3 linked regions of the Caenorhabditis elegans genome follow. The protein of the gene in region 1 purifies or fractionates together with the protein of each later gene. This does not show direct contact. Each region holds a gene or a part of one and is shown in the gene's direction. Other genes may lie near its edges.

What was found. Proteins that work in one complex are often made in the same cells at the same time.
Region 2: the proteins of lys-2 (region 1) and snx-3 fractionate together in Caenorhabditis elegans (co-fractionation; one large-scale study listed by BioGRID). This does not show direct contact.
Region 3: the proteins of lys-2 (region 1) and metl-13 fractionate together in Caenorhabditis elegans (co-fractionation; one large-scale study listed by BioGRID). This does not show direct contact.

The regions. Positions count from the first base shown.
Region 1 is NC_003283.11:10,279,784-10,283,213, reverse strand, and holds lys-2 (Lysozyme-like protein 2), read left to right. Parts: upstream 1-1,739; 5' UTR 1,740-1,769; coding exon 1,770-2,195; intron 2,196-2,432; coding exon 2,433-2,846; 3' UTR 2,847-2,907; downstream 2,908-3,430. Other genes in the region: lys-3 (Lysozyme-like protein 3), read left to right, coding at 1-118, 177-382, 649-999.
Region 2 is NC_003279.8:9,062,731-9,066,280, reverse strand, and holds snx-3 (Sorting nexin-3), read left to right. Parts: upstream 1-1,877; 5' UTR 1,878-1,882; coding exon 1,883-1,978; intron 1,979-2,020; coding exon 2,021-2,086; intron 2,087-2,132; coding exon 2,133-2,353; intron 2,354-2,441; coding exon 2,442-2,547; 3' UTR 2,548-3,003; downstream 3,004-3,550. Other genes in the region: rad-54.L (DNA repair and recombination protein RAD54-like), read right to left, coding at 98-237, 281-524, 598-676, 1,091-1,194; prmt-7 (Protein arginine N-methyltransferase 7), read left to right, coding at 3,134-3,222, 3,314-3,438, 3,491-3,550.
Region 3 is NC_003282.8:6,633,116-6,638,702, forward strand, and holds metl-13 (Methyltransferase domain-containing protein), read left to right. Parts: upstream 1-1,973; 5' UTR 1,974-1,976; coding exon 1,977-2,062; intron 2,063-2,300; coding exon 2,301-2,526; intron 2,527-2,600; coding exon 2,601-2,812; intron 2,813-2,857; coding exon 2,858-2,969; intron 2,970-3,021; coding exon 3,022-3,140; intron 3,141-3,186; coding exon 3,187-3,324; intron 3,325-3,372; coding exon 3,373-3,559; intron 3,560-3,603; coding exon 3,604-3,775; intron 3,776-4,034; coding exon 4,035-4,222; intron 4,223-4,269; coding exon 4,270-4,414; intron 4,415-4,468; coding exon 4,469-4,713; intron 4,714-4,763; coding exon 4,764-4,904; 3' UTR 4,905-5,040; downstream 5,041-5,587. Other genes in the region: C01B10.9 (Bis(5'-adenosyl)-triphosphatase), read left to right, coding at 1-66, 124-403, 735-855, 902-1,063, 1,131-1,403, 1,515-1,577; C01B10.7 (TransThyretin-Related family domain), read left to right, coding at 5,464-5,556.

The DNA.
Region 1 (3,430 bases):
GACATGGATTGTTTGAGAGATCAAGGTTATAAATCTGTATTTGTCAGAGCTTTGAATCCAATTGGAAATACTTATTTTGATCGAAATGCCTTGAATACAATCAACAATGCATTTGAAGGTAAGATTGACTAAATAAACAAAATAATCCTATTATTATCATTTTGTTTTTTTTTCAGCTGGACTTGGAAGTGAAGTTTACATCACTCCAAACATCAACTCAACAAGGTCTGGAGCAGACCAAATTAGTCTGGTCTACCAGAATTTGCTTGCTAATGGAATTAATGTTAGATCTATCTGGATTCAAGTAACTTCTCCAACAAATTGGGTTGCACCAATGGCTGTGAGAATTGAGTTTATCCAAGATATGATTAGAAGTGCGAAGGTATGTTACCAAACATTAGCGAGACAAACTGAAGCTCCTGATGCATGGAAAACAACAGTAAAACAATTTCCGCGAAATTCGCCTCTGAACGTGGGGCACGCCTGAGACGTTTATAGGACGATTATATTTAAGTTGATCACATACACGAATATTGTTTGCTGAAGCGGAATGTACATTTTCTGACTCACACTGTTTAGAAGTTTTAATTTTCGAAGCATGGATCATGATCACAAAGAACAACTTCTTATTCACTTTATTACTTTCAGAATCTGGGCTTGTCAGTTGGAATCTACACTTCATTTTATGATTGGTTGGAAATCACAGGAGGCTGGAACACGTTTAGTTCTGATGTTTTCTTGTGGTACTGGCATGTTCTGAGTATGGGTACTGATGGTGAAACTACTCCAACTCTTGAAGATTTCCGTCCATTTGGACCATGGAGACAGGCCACTGTGAAACAATTTGGACAAGTTGAAAAACTTTGTGGAATGATTGTAAACCGAAATGTGTATTCCACCGGAAACCAACACTTGTCTCAAATTGTACACTTCTCAACTCATCAAGAAAATTCGAGTTCGGAGAAGAAATTGATTCGTGTTGGTGGAATCGGATTTTGAGAATCCAAGGAATGAGAATTGTCGACTAAATCTTTGATACCAGAAAGCATAATACAAAATAAATATTTCCGATGTGATTGTCGATAACCTTTTTAACGATAAAATTATCAACACACAAAAATACACTTGTTATTAATAATGGTGTCGCCGAAATTTTTATTGCTTTATTAGACTCGAAATTGTCTGAAAACACCGAATTTCATAATGCAACTTTATATTGAAAACAAAAATTACCTACAAATAGTTAACATTTGAAATTTGTCCAACTTATCCATGTTGCAGCGGCTGGAAACTAATTTTTTGAAATCACTTTCAAATTTTCTGAATACAACATTTGAGGTGGGATCACTAGATTTCGTATAATTTGGGGATCCATTGAAATTTATTTACAATTTCTCATTTTTAAACCCGAATTTCAAAAAGCATCTCTCTGTTGTTCTCTTTGTTCTAAAACTTCGAGAAATATCCTCACTGACGATGTTGTGTAAAGGAACATGTAGAAAGTTTCTTTCTCTATCTTTGGCCTCTTTTTCATCACATCACTTTAATTGACAACAGAGAGTCTGCACTGGTATTCTTGCCTTCTTATCAATTATCATTCATTAATTCAGAAAATGAAGCCAAACCACTGTTGACATTTTCAACTGACTAAGAAACCCATCTTATTTCAGAGAGATTCGTCATTTTGTGCACTGAAAAGAGCTCATCGTCTTGTATATAAACTGATAGGAAAACCACAATTTTTATCTTCACTGAAATAGATCAGTAAAATGATCAAGCTTCTAGTTTCTTTTACTATCCTATTTGTTCTCTCTTCTGCGAGACCACAAGAAATCGACTCGAACCAAGCTGCGATTGCAAATACCGAAGCAAATGAAGCTCCAGTAATTGTTAACAATGACGCTTCAATGGGAAATGCTGTCGATTTTTCCTTTCCAACAAATGTCCAAGTAATGAATTGTTTGAAGAAAGCAAAATATCAAGTTGTATTCCTCCGTGGATTTGTTCCAACTGGAAATGGAGCTTTTGATTCAAATTGTGTTGGAAATATCAGAAATGCTTATTCAGCTGGATTGGGAATTGAGACATACATGACTCCTCAGCCAATATCAAGCTGGCAAGGATACCAACAACTTGATCTTCTTTATAACGGACTCAACAATAATGGAATCACTATCCGATCAGTCTGGATTCAGGTTAGTAGTTCAGACACAGTTTAAATTTAGAATTTCCCTCAAGTTCATTTTGAGGCTGGTACTACTATAGTTTCAGTTTCATAGAGAGTTGCTCCTCTATTTATGAATTTTCTCAAAAGTATTTTATCATTACTTCCTCTCAATTCACAAGCATTCACGAGTTTGTGTATTTCTTATCTTTCAGAAAATCGAACATAATATTTAAATAATTATTTCCCTAAACTACAAATTTTCCAGGTTACTTCCCCTGCCAACTGGCCAAACAATCCAACTGCCAACGTCAACTTTATCAACAGCATAATTTCCCGTGCTCAACAATATGGTCTCTCTGTTGGAATTTACACAAACCAATATGACTGGAGCCAGATTACTGGAAATTCGGCGAATATCAATTCTAATGTCATGCTCTGGTATTGGAATGTTCTTGGAGGTGGTACTTCTGGAGAGACAAAGCCAACTTTTGCTGATTTCCGTGCTTTCGGCCCATTCAAGAAGGCTTCAGTGAAGCAGTATGCTCAAGTTGAAACAGTTTGTAATTTGGTTGTGAATCGTGACGTGTATGCTGTTGGAATTCCAGCTGCTGCTCCAAAGACTGAAGTCAATATGGCAGATGGTGAAAAGATTGTTGTCGGAGGATTTGTCGGAAACTAATTTATTAAACTTATTATCGGTTTTATGATCTCTTCCCAAATAAAATTGTTATCATCTGTTATCATTTTGCCGGCAGAAGAATTTTCTTGAAGGAGAGAAAAAGTCTAAAAGTCACGAAAGTTAAACACATTGATATTAATGCGTAAAAAGCGATTAAATGCATATTATCGTTAGGTGTCAATGCAACTTAAAAAGTGCAAAAACATCTTCGTATGTTAATTTTCAGATTTAATTATTTTGAACAAATGATTTCTTTTTTTCAAATTACGTTGAGTTCAACAAGCCTTCCACGCGGGTAATATTGAATATATTCTATCCTATACCCTCTCAGATAAACTGGAGTCACGGCTGACTAGGGAACCGTCAGAAGCTGCCCATCGGACTTGCATATGAGACCAATGCCATTCGATAGTGCATGTCTTAAAACGGTTGCTCGTGAATTTTTAGCGGCAAAACTCCAGAACCAAGCTCACGGCGGGCTCTCAAAGATCTTAAAATAGCACTGTAAGGAAGAACTTTAACGATCTAACGAAGCAATTTTCGAATTTCACTTTGGTAGCTCATATCTCCGTAGATAAATTTTT
Region 2 (3,550 bases), on another chromosome or scaffold:
GAAAAATTTGATAAAATGGACATTCATATTTTTGCAATATTTGAGTCGTTTTTTTTATTCATGTTTTTTTTTCGATTCTCGCAGCTAAAATTCTCACCTTTCGATCCTTATCTTCCTTGAGTTGTGCGTGTTCACTAAGATGTTCAGGAGCATAAAGAATCAATGCACCTTCATGATATGGATCAAATAGAGCACATTTTCGACGGTTTCCACCAAGACCTAGGCTTCGACCAGATACTGAAAACTCGTTTAAAATAAACATTTTTACATGTTTTCTTACACATATATCCCTCCATCGGAATTGAAAACTTTCTCGACAACAACTTCGCAATCATAGCATCGTGATCTGATGATTCGGAAGCCATACGTCTAGAGAATACATCGATATTCACAAAACGTAATGGACTTGCTTCTTCTACAGATACAGGTGGTTCTATGGCAGGCAGTGCCTTCTTTCGTCGTCGAAGACCTTGTTTTGAAGGAGAAACTGACGTAGAAAAAGGGGAAATGAAGGTTTTGTGTATCTGAAAAACATTAAAAATTACAATTACAATTAAGTTCCGAATTGTATTTCATTGCAACTAAAAATATTAATACATTTTTCGGTTCCTCCGTTCGTCCTGAATATCCTAGACTTTTCCGTTTTTGTGTTGGAGCAGTAGAGCTTGTGGAAGGTCTGAAAATAATATACCGCATTTCCTCTATTAGTCTTGCATGCAAGACTAATTTTCAATAGACCCGTAGGGGTGCAAGACTAATAGGGACTGCAAGACTATTAGAGGCTACAAGACTAATTTTCGAAGATCCAATAGCTTTGTTAAATTGGCCATTTATCGTCAAAATTTTGACTTGAAACAGTCTAAATCATGCAAAATACATGCTTTTCTATTGTTTTATCAATTACTTGAACAGTTTAAAATTTAATTTAGCTAAAAAATGGCGAAAATTTTGAAGTTTTGACAAAATACTGCTGGCCTGGCAAGAATAGGGGTGCATGACTATTACCGTATTTCCTCTATTAGTCTTGCATGCAAGACTAATAGAGGGAATACGGTATGTGTTAAAATTTGAATTTTTTATAAAAGCTCACAAATTTTCCGGTGTAACTTCTCGTTTCCTTTTTGGCAGTTCAACTGGGATATTAACATCTTTTCCATGACTATCTTCTAAATTTTCGAACGTTTTTTTTGGCATTCCTGAAAACTAAGAAAATCTTTAATTTCGCAGAACAACTGAATAAACAAGTAGAATTTACAGAAATTCAACAAAATTTTTAAAATGCTCTTTTTATTCAAAAAGAACGGCGCCGCGCCATCTTGAACGAAAACAAAGTTTCGAAGAAGACGAAACACGGACACAGGGCGGTGTCAGCTATTAATTTTCAATTTAACAATTATTTTACAACATAGATTTGTTGTGAAACATTTTTTTGCTTTTGAATCAATTATAATCTTTTTAAAATTTTGAGTCATAGCGAGTCACTGCTTTTTCATTCCATGAATCTGCGGTGTCTGCTTTTGAAATTTCAGTTTGAGGTACGGTTGAATTTTTTGTGTGCATTAACACAAAAGTGTTTGCGTACTTTTGCCACTTTTTTCATTTCTTGATTCGTTTTGTTTATCGGCGCGCGATGAGTCATTTTTGCCGTAATTTCCTTGAAATTCCAGTTTTATTTATTGATTTTTCACAGCTTCATATTATTTTTTCCATTTTAGTTTGCCGAACAGCGAAACAAAAAGCAAACGATGTTCTCGCATGTTGTCGATTAAAGCTTTGGATTCCAACATAAATTTCACTTTTATTTTGTTTATATTGTGAAAATCGATACTTAAATAAACAATTCAAAGCAACTTTGATATAATTTAGAATATTTGCAGTGCAAATGGCATCCGGCGCGTCGGCAACTCAGCGGATCCCTTCAAAACGGCAAACGCTGGACGAGGCATATGCCCCGCCGGCCAACTTCCTTGAAATTGAGGTTTGAATAAAAATCAATGAATTAGATCAAGATAACTTGCAGGTTATCAATCCTATCACTCATGGTGTTGGAAAAATGCGCTACACGGATTACGAAATCAGAATGAGAGTAAGTATAGATTAACACTGACCGCATAATAAAATCGTTGTTTCAGTCGAATCTCCCCGTTTTCAAGCAGAAAGAATCAAGCGTGCGTCGCCGATACAGTGATTTCGAATGGGTTCGTGCTGAACTAGAGCGAGATAGCAAGATTGTGGTTCCAACGTTGCCAGGAAAATCATTCAAACGGCAACTGCCATTCCGATCCGATGATGGAATTTTTGAAGAGGAATTCATTGAAAATAGGCGCAAAGCTCTCGAGTTATTCATCAATAAGTACGTAAAACTGTTCAACTATACGGACATCAAAATGAACTCAGAAAATTTTCACATTTCTAAAAGTTTTAATAATATGTTCTTGCAGGGTTGCTGGACATCCACTTGCTCAAAACGAACGCTCTCTCCATATTTTCCTCCAGGAGCCAACTATTGACAAAAACTACGTGCCTGGCAAAATTCGTACCGCTTAAATTTTAAAATGTTTCTAAATTCTCCGCTCACGAGAAAAATCTCAAAATACCCAGAGTTATAGTTTTAACGCTGTCTGTTTCAATAAACAGAAGGAAACTTTTAAAAAATGATAATGTTTTCTTATCATATTTTTACATAACAAAAAATGAGTAACGCTTTCTGATCTTTTGAGATATTTAGTTTTCAAAAAGTGAGTTTTTAGAAGCTTTTTTCCAATTTAATCTCGGCCCATCAAAATATTGTTTCCATCCCTCCACCAAAATGCGGTATTTTTCGAAATTGTGTACTTTGTCCCCATCACCACTTCTTTCCCATTGATTTCCATTTTCTGGCTCCTGTTTATTTCATATTTATTTTTACATTTTTGTGTATAGTTTCCCAATTTCCCAATTGATTGCACTATTTTTATTGCATGAACCCCTTTTATTTGAACAAATATGAAAAATAAGTCTTCCGTTCCTTGATTTCGTTTCTTTGGATTTTAAAGTGGTAAATTGGCAGTTGTGTGCATATCGCAAATATCTTGAGTGTATCATTAAAACGAGCATATCTTTAAGATAGACAATTTGCAGGGTTTTCTGAAAAATGTTCCTTGAGAAGATAAATCAAAAAACCGGCGAACGAGAATGGGTTGTGGCTGAAGAGGATTATGATATGGCTCAGGAACTTGCCAGGTTTTCAACTTTAAAAAAATATTCCGCATAGAAATAAAATTTAATAAACAATACTTCTCGCATTTTCTTGCTTTAAAACGTTAATTTTCAGAAGTCGATTTGGAGATATGATTCTGGATTTTGATAGAAATGACAAGTTCCTCGCAGGATTAAAAACTACGATTGCTGAGAAAAAACATGAAAATACAGATGGGAAAGTTCATGTTTTAGATATTGGTTAGCTGTTAAGTTTTCAACTTATTCGGTTTTTAAAGTTTACTATTTACAGGTACTGGAACTGGACTTCTTTCACTAATGGCTGCTCGAGAAGGAGCTGATAAAGTGACTG
Region 3 (5,587 bases), on another chromosome or scaffold:
ATAATAATTTGGGAGCTGATGTGAATATTATCCTAACAGCTGATCATGGACATGCAGAAATTAAAGGTAATAATTTAAAATAGTTGAAATTAAAATCTTCATAATTCCTAAAACTAAATTCAGATCACAAACATGTCATGTGCGTGAAAGATTATGTATCTGGCGCTGGATTCGAAATGGGTGATCATATGATTTATCCACACTCGGATGAAATTGGAAAACAAATTTATGCAAATTTAACATCAGCAGTGAAAGAGCATGGATATGATGTGAATATTCATTGGAGAGAGGAAGTTCCAGAAAGATGGCATTATCGAAACAGTTCGCGAATTGGAAAAATCGTTTTCGAGCCGCAAATCGGTTCTTCGATTTCGTTTTCGTGTACGAAGGATCTTATGGAAAAGTATGTGGTTTACAACCGGGCTGTGCGGCAAATTTTTCTGGCAAACGTAAACAATAGTAATGCAGAAACAGGTGCATTCTATCTGAAAATAATATTTAGCTTTGTTGAATAATTGGAAAAAAAACCTTAAATATTGCCCGAATGTTGTCATTTGCAGAATAACTTTTAACGGCACTATTTGAGACCTTTGTCAAGTTTTTCAACAAAAACAAATATCATTTTTAGATGGAATGGGACATTTTTTCTTGAATTATCATATTAAAAAAAGGCAGTTTGATCCGTTTACCGGAAAAAATATTACAACGATTAGTTTATTGAAATCAACTTTCAGGCAATATGGAGAAAACGGAACATTAAAATTCAATTCATCAACTCACGGACAAGATCCTGATCGTCCAGAGATGAGAGCTTTCCTTATTATGAGAGGCCCAGCGTTTTCTGAAAATTATACGGTATAAGCTAGGCATTTTGAGAACTGTATGATAAATATTCTTTCAGATTGCCGATATTCCTTCAAATGTGGATTTGTACAATATAATGTGTCATGTGCTTGGTATCACACCAACTGAAAATAATGGAACCATGGAAATTGTGAAACGAGCTTTAAAAGAGAACAGATATTTACCAATGACACATGGTTTCGTATTTAATCAGATTACGGTAGGTTATTCCACAGAGTATTTGACTCAATTCTAAAGCTTATCAAAAGCACATAATTTTTCTTCAGGATTCATGGAGTTTTTCGCTTATTTTAATTCCTTCAATGTGTATTGTTATAATATTCTTCGCTTATGGATGTAAGAATACCGTACTCAAATCTGATCCCAATTGGGGAAGATCCGATACAGTTCAAGGATATCGGCCATTGAGTAACCGGACGAACGAAGGATTCGAATTAAATGATGATGAGGATGAGGATGAAGGAGATGGATTAAGGAATTCGATAGATTTAGAAAGAGGTGGAAGAAGGAGTCAAGCAGGAGGTGGTGCACTTGGAAGTGTGAGTTTTATATTGAAATAATCGGAAAATCAAATATCGCTCGAAATTATTTTAAAGAAAAAATAAATAAAAAATTACCCGAAATGTTCTCAAAAATGTGTAGATTTTCAGCTGAACAATGGAACGGTAGCAATGTCTGGACTACTGGATGAAATGAGCGATGATGATATTTGATCTTTTTAATATAACTTTTTGCATTCAAATTGTAAATATTTCTTGTGACCTCTTTATATATTTCCCCCATTGTGCCTTCGATTTCTCTTTAATTTCTGCAGAATATTCAAATCACAAAGCAAAATATTTATCTCTTTATTTGTCCTAGTCATCCTTTCATCTCTTTTTGATTTTTTTCCCCGGTTGTGGATTTTCAGGATTTTCAAAATCATCCAAAGACAGTTTATCAATTTTCAATGTGATATATTTTCAAAAAAGATTACTTAACTTTAATAATGAATGTTTCTCATATTTTTTACTTCTTAATTATAATTTTATTTTCTTTGGTTTTCATTTAGCCTCATGTTTTATTTCGAGTATTTAAAATGATTATTTTTCTAGTTTCTATAGTTTCAGGCCATGTCCGCTCCAAATGAGCCACAATCTTTCACGGATCCAGCGTACTGGAAGAACTTCTTTGCAAAACGAAAATCTCCATTCGAATGGTAATTAAATAATTATATTTCTTTGTTAAAATATGATGTCTTTCAAACAAAATTAAAAGAAAATTATCACATCACTATCAAGTGTTTTTCAGATTTGTCAAAGAAAAATTATCAATGTTTCGAAAAATAACTTAAAATATTGACCATTTTTCTTCTTTTTAGATAGAAATTTTTCCTCATCAACATACACAAAAATTGAATGCTTTCGATTCTCATGTAAAAATTTGAATTCTTTCAGGTACGGTGACTATAATTCTTTATCAAATGTAATTGATAAATATTTGAAACCGAAAGACACGTTCCTTCAACTTGGATGTGGTAATTCGGAATTAGCGACCCAACTCTACGATAATGGATTTCATTGCATTCACAGTATTGATGTAGAACCATCTGTTATTGCCACACAGATTCGTAAAAATAAAGAACGACTCGGAATGACTTTTGAGACTGGAGATGCTGCTAATGTGAGTTTGGAGAATGTCCCGTTGTGCACAATGAACAATTAAAAGAAAAGAAATTCGAAAATAATATGTTATAGCTATCCATGGCCGATGAAGCACATACCATTGTAATTGATAAAGGAACTCTCGACGCTCTTCTTCCACCATCAGCTTCAGAATCCGATGAAGCATTGGTTACAAAGATGTTCGAGGAAGTTCATCGTGTATTGGCTTCTGGTGGAAGATATATCATTGTCACATTGGCTCAACCACATATCACCGAGTTCTGGATTAATCACTTCTATCCATTGTAAAATATTCATTTTTCTCAAAAATCTGTAAAACGTTATTCCAGAAAGCAATATATCCTACGTGTTCAAAAAGTTGAGAACAAGGCTTCTGGATTCCCAATGCCAGTTTTCTGCTTTATTGCCACGAAAATGCGAGCACCAATGCCAAATCCATTGGTAGGTAGATAAATTGCAAATTATTTTATTTAAATAAAACCTATATTTTTAGCCTCTAGAAGTTCTTCGCTCCAGCTCCATCCGTACTGATCGTATCGATAGCACTGACGAATTGAAGGATTCTATTCGTGGAGAACAGGAGCTCTCACAATTCATCTACCTGTGCTCGAAGTAATTCATTTTAGTTTTTCCCTTGAAATTAATGAAATTAATTTAGAAAGCTGGACTCTGAAGTTTCAATCGACTTTCATGGAGCAGATCCATCATTAGGACCACGTTATCGTATCTGTGTTGTTGATAATCCAGAAGCCAAGAAGATTGACACATTCGCCGCATTTGTGGTTCCAATTGGACGGTTTGTATAGAAAACATTTTTAAATTCGAATTCTTATATTAATTTCAGTGATTCTGAATGGCTATTCGCCTCACCAAAGGGACGAAAAGCTCTTCGTGTTCAATGTGGCCGCGAACGTCTCGCAATCGTTTTCCTCAACAGAAATCAAAAATATGAAAAAGGAATGGACGGTGTGAAGAGTGATATTGGACATTTTGTTGGAATGCTGGATGTTAGACAAGATAATACTGGAAATGTATGTAGAATTGAACACGAAACATATGAAAACCCGATTTTCAGTACGAAATTCTATCCATCGGAGGAGTCGATGTTAAGCGAACCGTTTCAACGGGACGTTCGGATATCAATGGTGGTTGGAGTGTTGAAGAAGTTACTGTTGAAGGAAATCAAACTAGAAGACTAGTTTTTCTGAATACGATGAATCTGGTACAATCTGAAGCTTATCTGAAAAGTTAGTAGTTGAAAATTTCATTTTTCAACCCCCTTTAAAGAGTAAAATGGATTTATTACAACTGAAAAATCAATGAAAACTGAGCAGCAACGAGATTTGAAAATTGCAGTATTGTTTAAAGGCGCACATCCTTCTGTATTATTTTCGGTGGAAAAAGAATAACATTTCCCATCTTGTTAATACACGAGAGGTAGTTTATCAGAATTAAAAAAGAACGGTTTAATGATGCTCACCTCAAAATTTAAAATTAACATTACAGCCGGAAAGAAGAAGCAAACGGTCATAGATCTCGATCAATTGGCATGCGATTTCCATAGAATGATGATCGGATCCCTAGCCATCAGTCCGCAACAACCATTAGCCAAGAATGATGCTCAGTGTAAGATGGCTGTTCTTGGATTAGGTGGTGGACTTTTGACTGCATATCTTGTCAGACATTTCAAAAAGGTATCAATCAAGTCTAGAAACTTAACAGTGCTAAATTTTCGTTTCAGGCTCATGTAACCGCTGTGGAACTTGATCCAGAAGTACTCAAAATCGCAAATTCTCACTTCTCGTTCCCCCATTCGGACGCTAGAATTGACGTTGTCATCCAAGATGCTCTTATTCATCTCCAGGAGACTGCAAAGAAACCTGAAGGTATTTAAAATATCATGTTCAAATTTTATTTTACAAATCAATTCTTATTTCCAGAAGAGAAATACGATGTGATTTTTGTGGATGTTTCTGGAAGTCAGAACGCTGCTCTTCAATGCCCACCATCCGCCTTCCTTACCCCAGAAGCTCTAGGAAATATGAAAAACTCGGTGAAAGAACAAGGAATGATTAGTTTGAATTTGGTTACACGCGATTCGGAATTCGGAAAGTCGATTAAAAAGAATATCGCAGAGTATTTCCCAACTCTCTACACAGTTCTGTCCTTCGAAGATGTTAATGAGGTAAACTAAATTAATTATTGAAATTCTACTAGCAAATATATTTCTTTCAGATTATCATCGGTCTCAAAACACCCAAGAACACAATAAAACCAGTGGTTCCTCAGAAATTAATCAACACAGTTCGCAAAGATATTGGAAGCTATGATGAGGTTGTCGGTGCTATCTCAAACATTCGTATGGTTGATTATTAATTGCACAATTTCGTTTGTTATCTTGTTTATTTTCAGTAATTTTTTATTATATGTATTCGATTGTTCCCAGTTATTCAAATTTTCCCCCGTTTGTTGTTTCGTTTGTTCACCTGATGAATTTTGTTTTACACTTTGCAAACATGTCTAATGTTCTCACGGTGCAGTGAAAAACAACTTTGCAGGAAAAACAACTATTAACAGCATATTCGATATCTCGACGCGATCCTACTGTACTTCCGATGTAGACTATTTGGAATTCCACTAGGAAGTTGTGCAAATTATCTGTATTTGATTATGCGGCCAAAACTATTCTATAATAACTTTGGAACTAAAAAATATTTTCCGTCACAAAATATGAAACTTTTAATTTTTGATCGTCAGTTTTTCTACAAAATAGTATTCATTTTGGTAGTGATCTGTACTGCAGAAATAGATTAATCTCTAAAAAAGTTCAGACAACGAGTAATTTCTATCAAACTGTGTTTTTTAATCTTTTAATTTTTATTTCCGCCTCTCACCGTGCGGTTATAAAATTCATAAGTTCACTTGTGCGGCCATCATGGTTCAAGTTAGTACTGTACTTTCTCTATTTCTATTGCTAATATGTCTAGTTGATTCCAGTTCTGAACCAAAACGTACAATGATAAGAAAGGTAACTAGGGAAATTAAAGCCTTCCAATTAG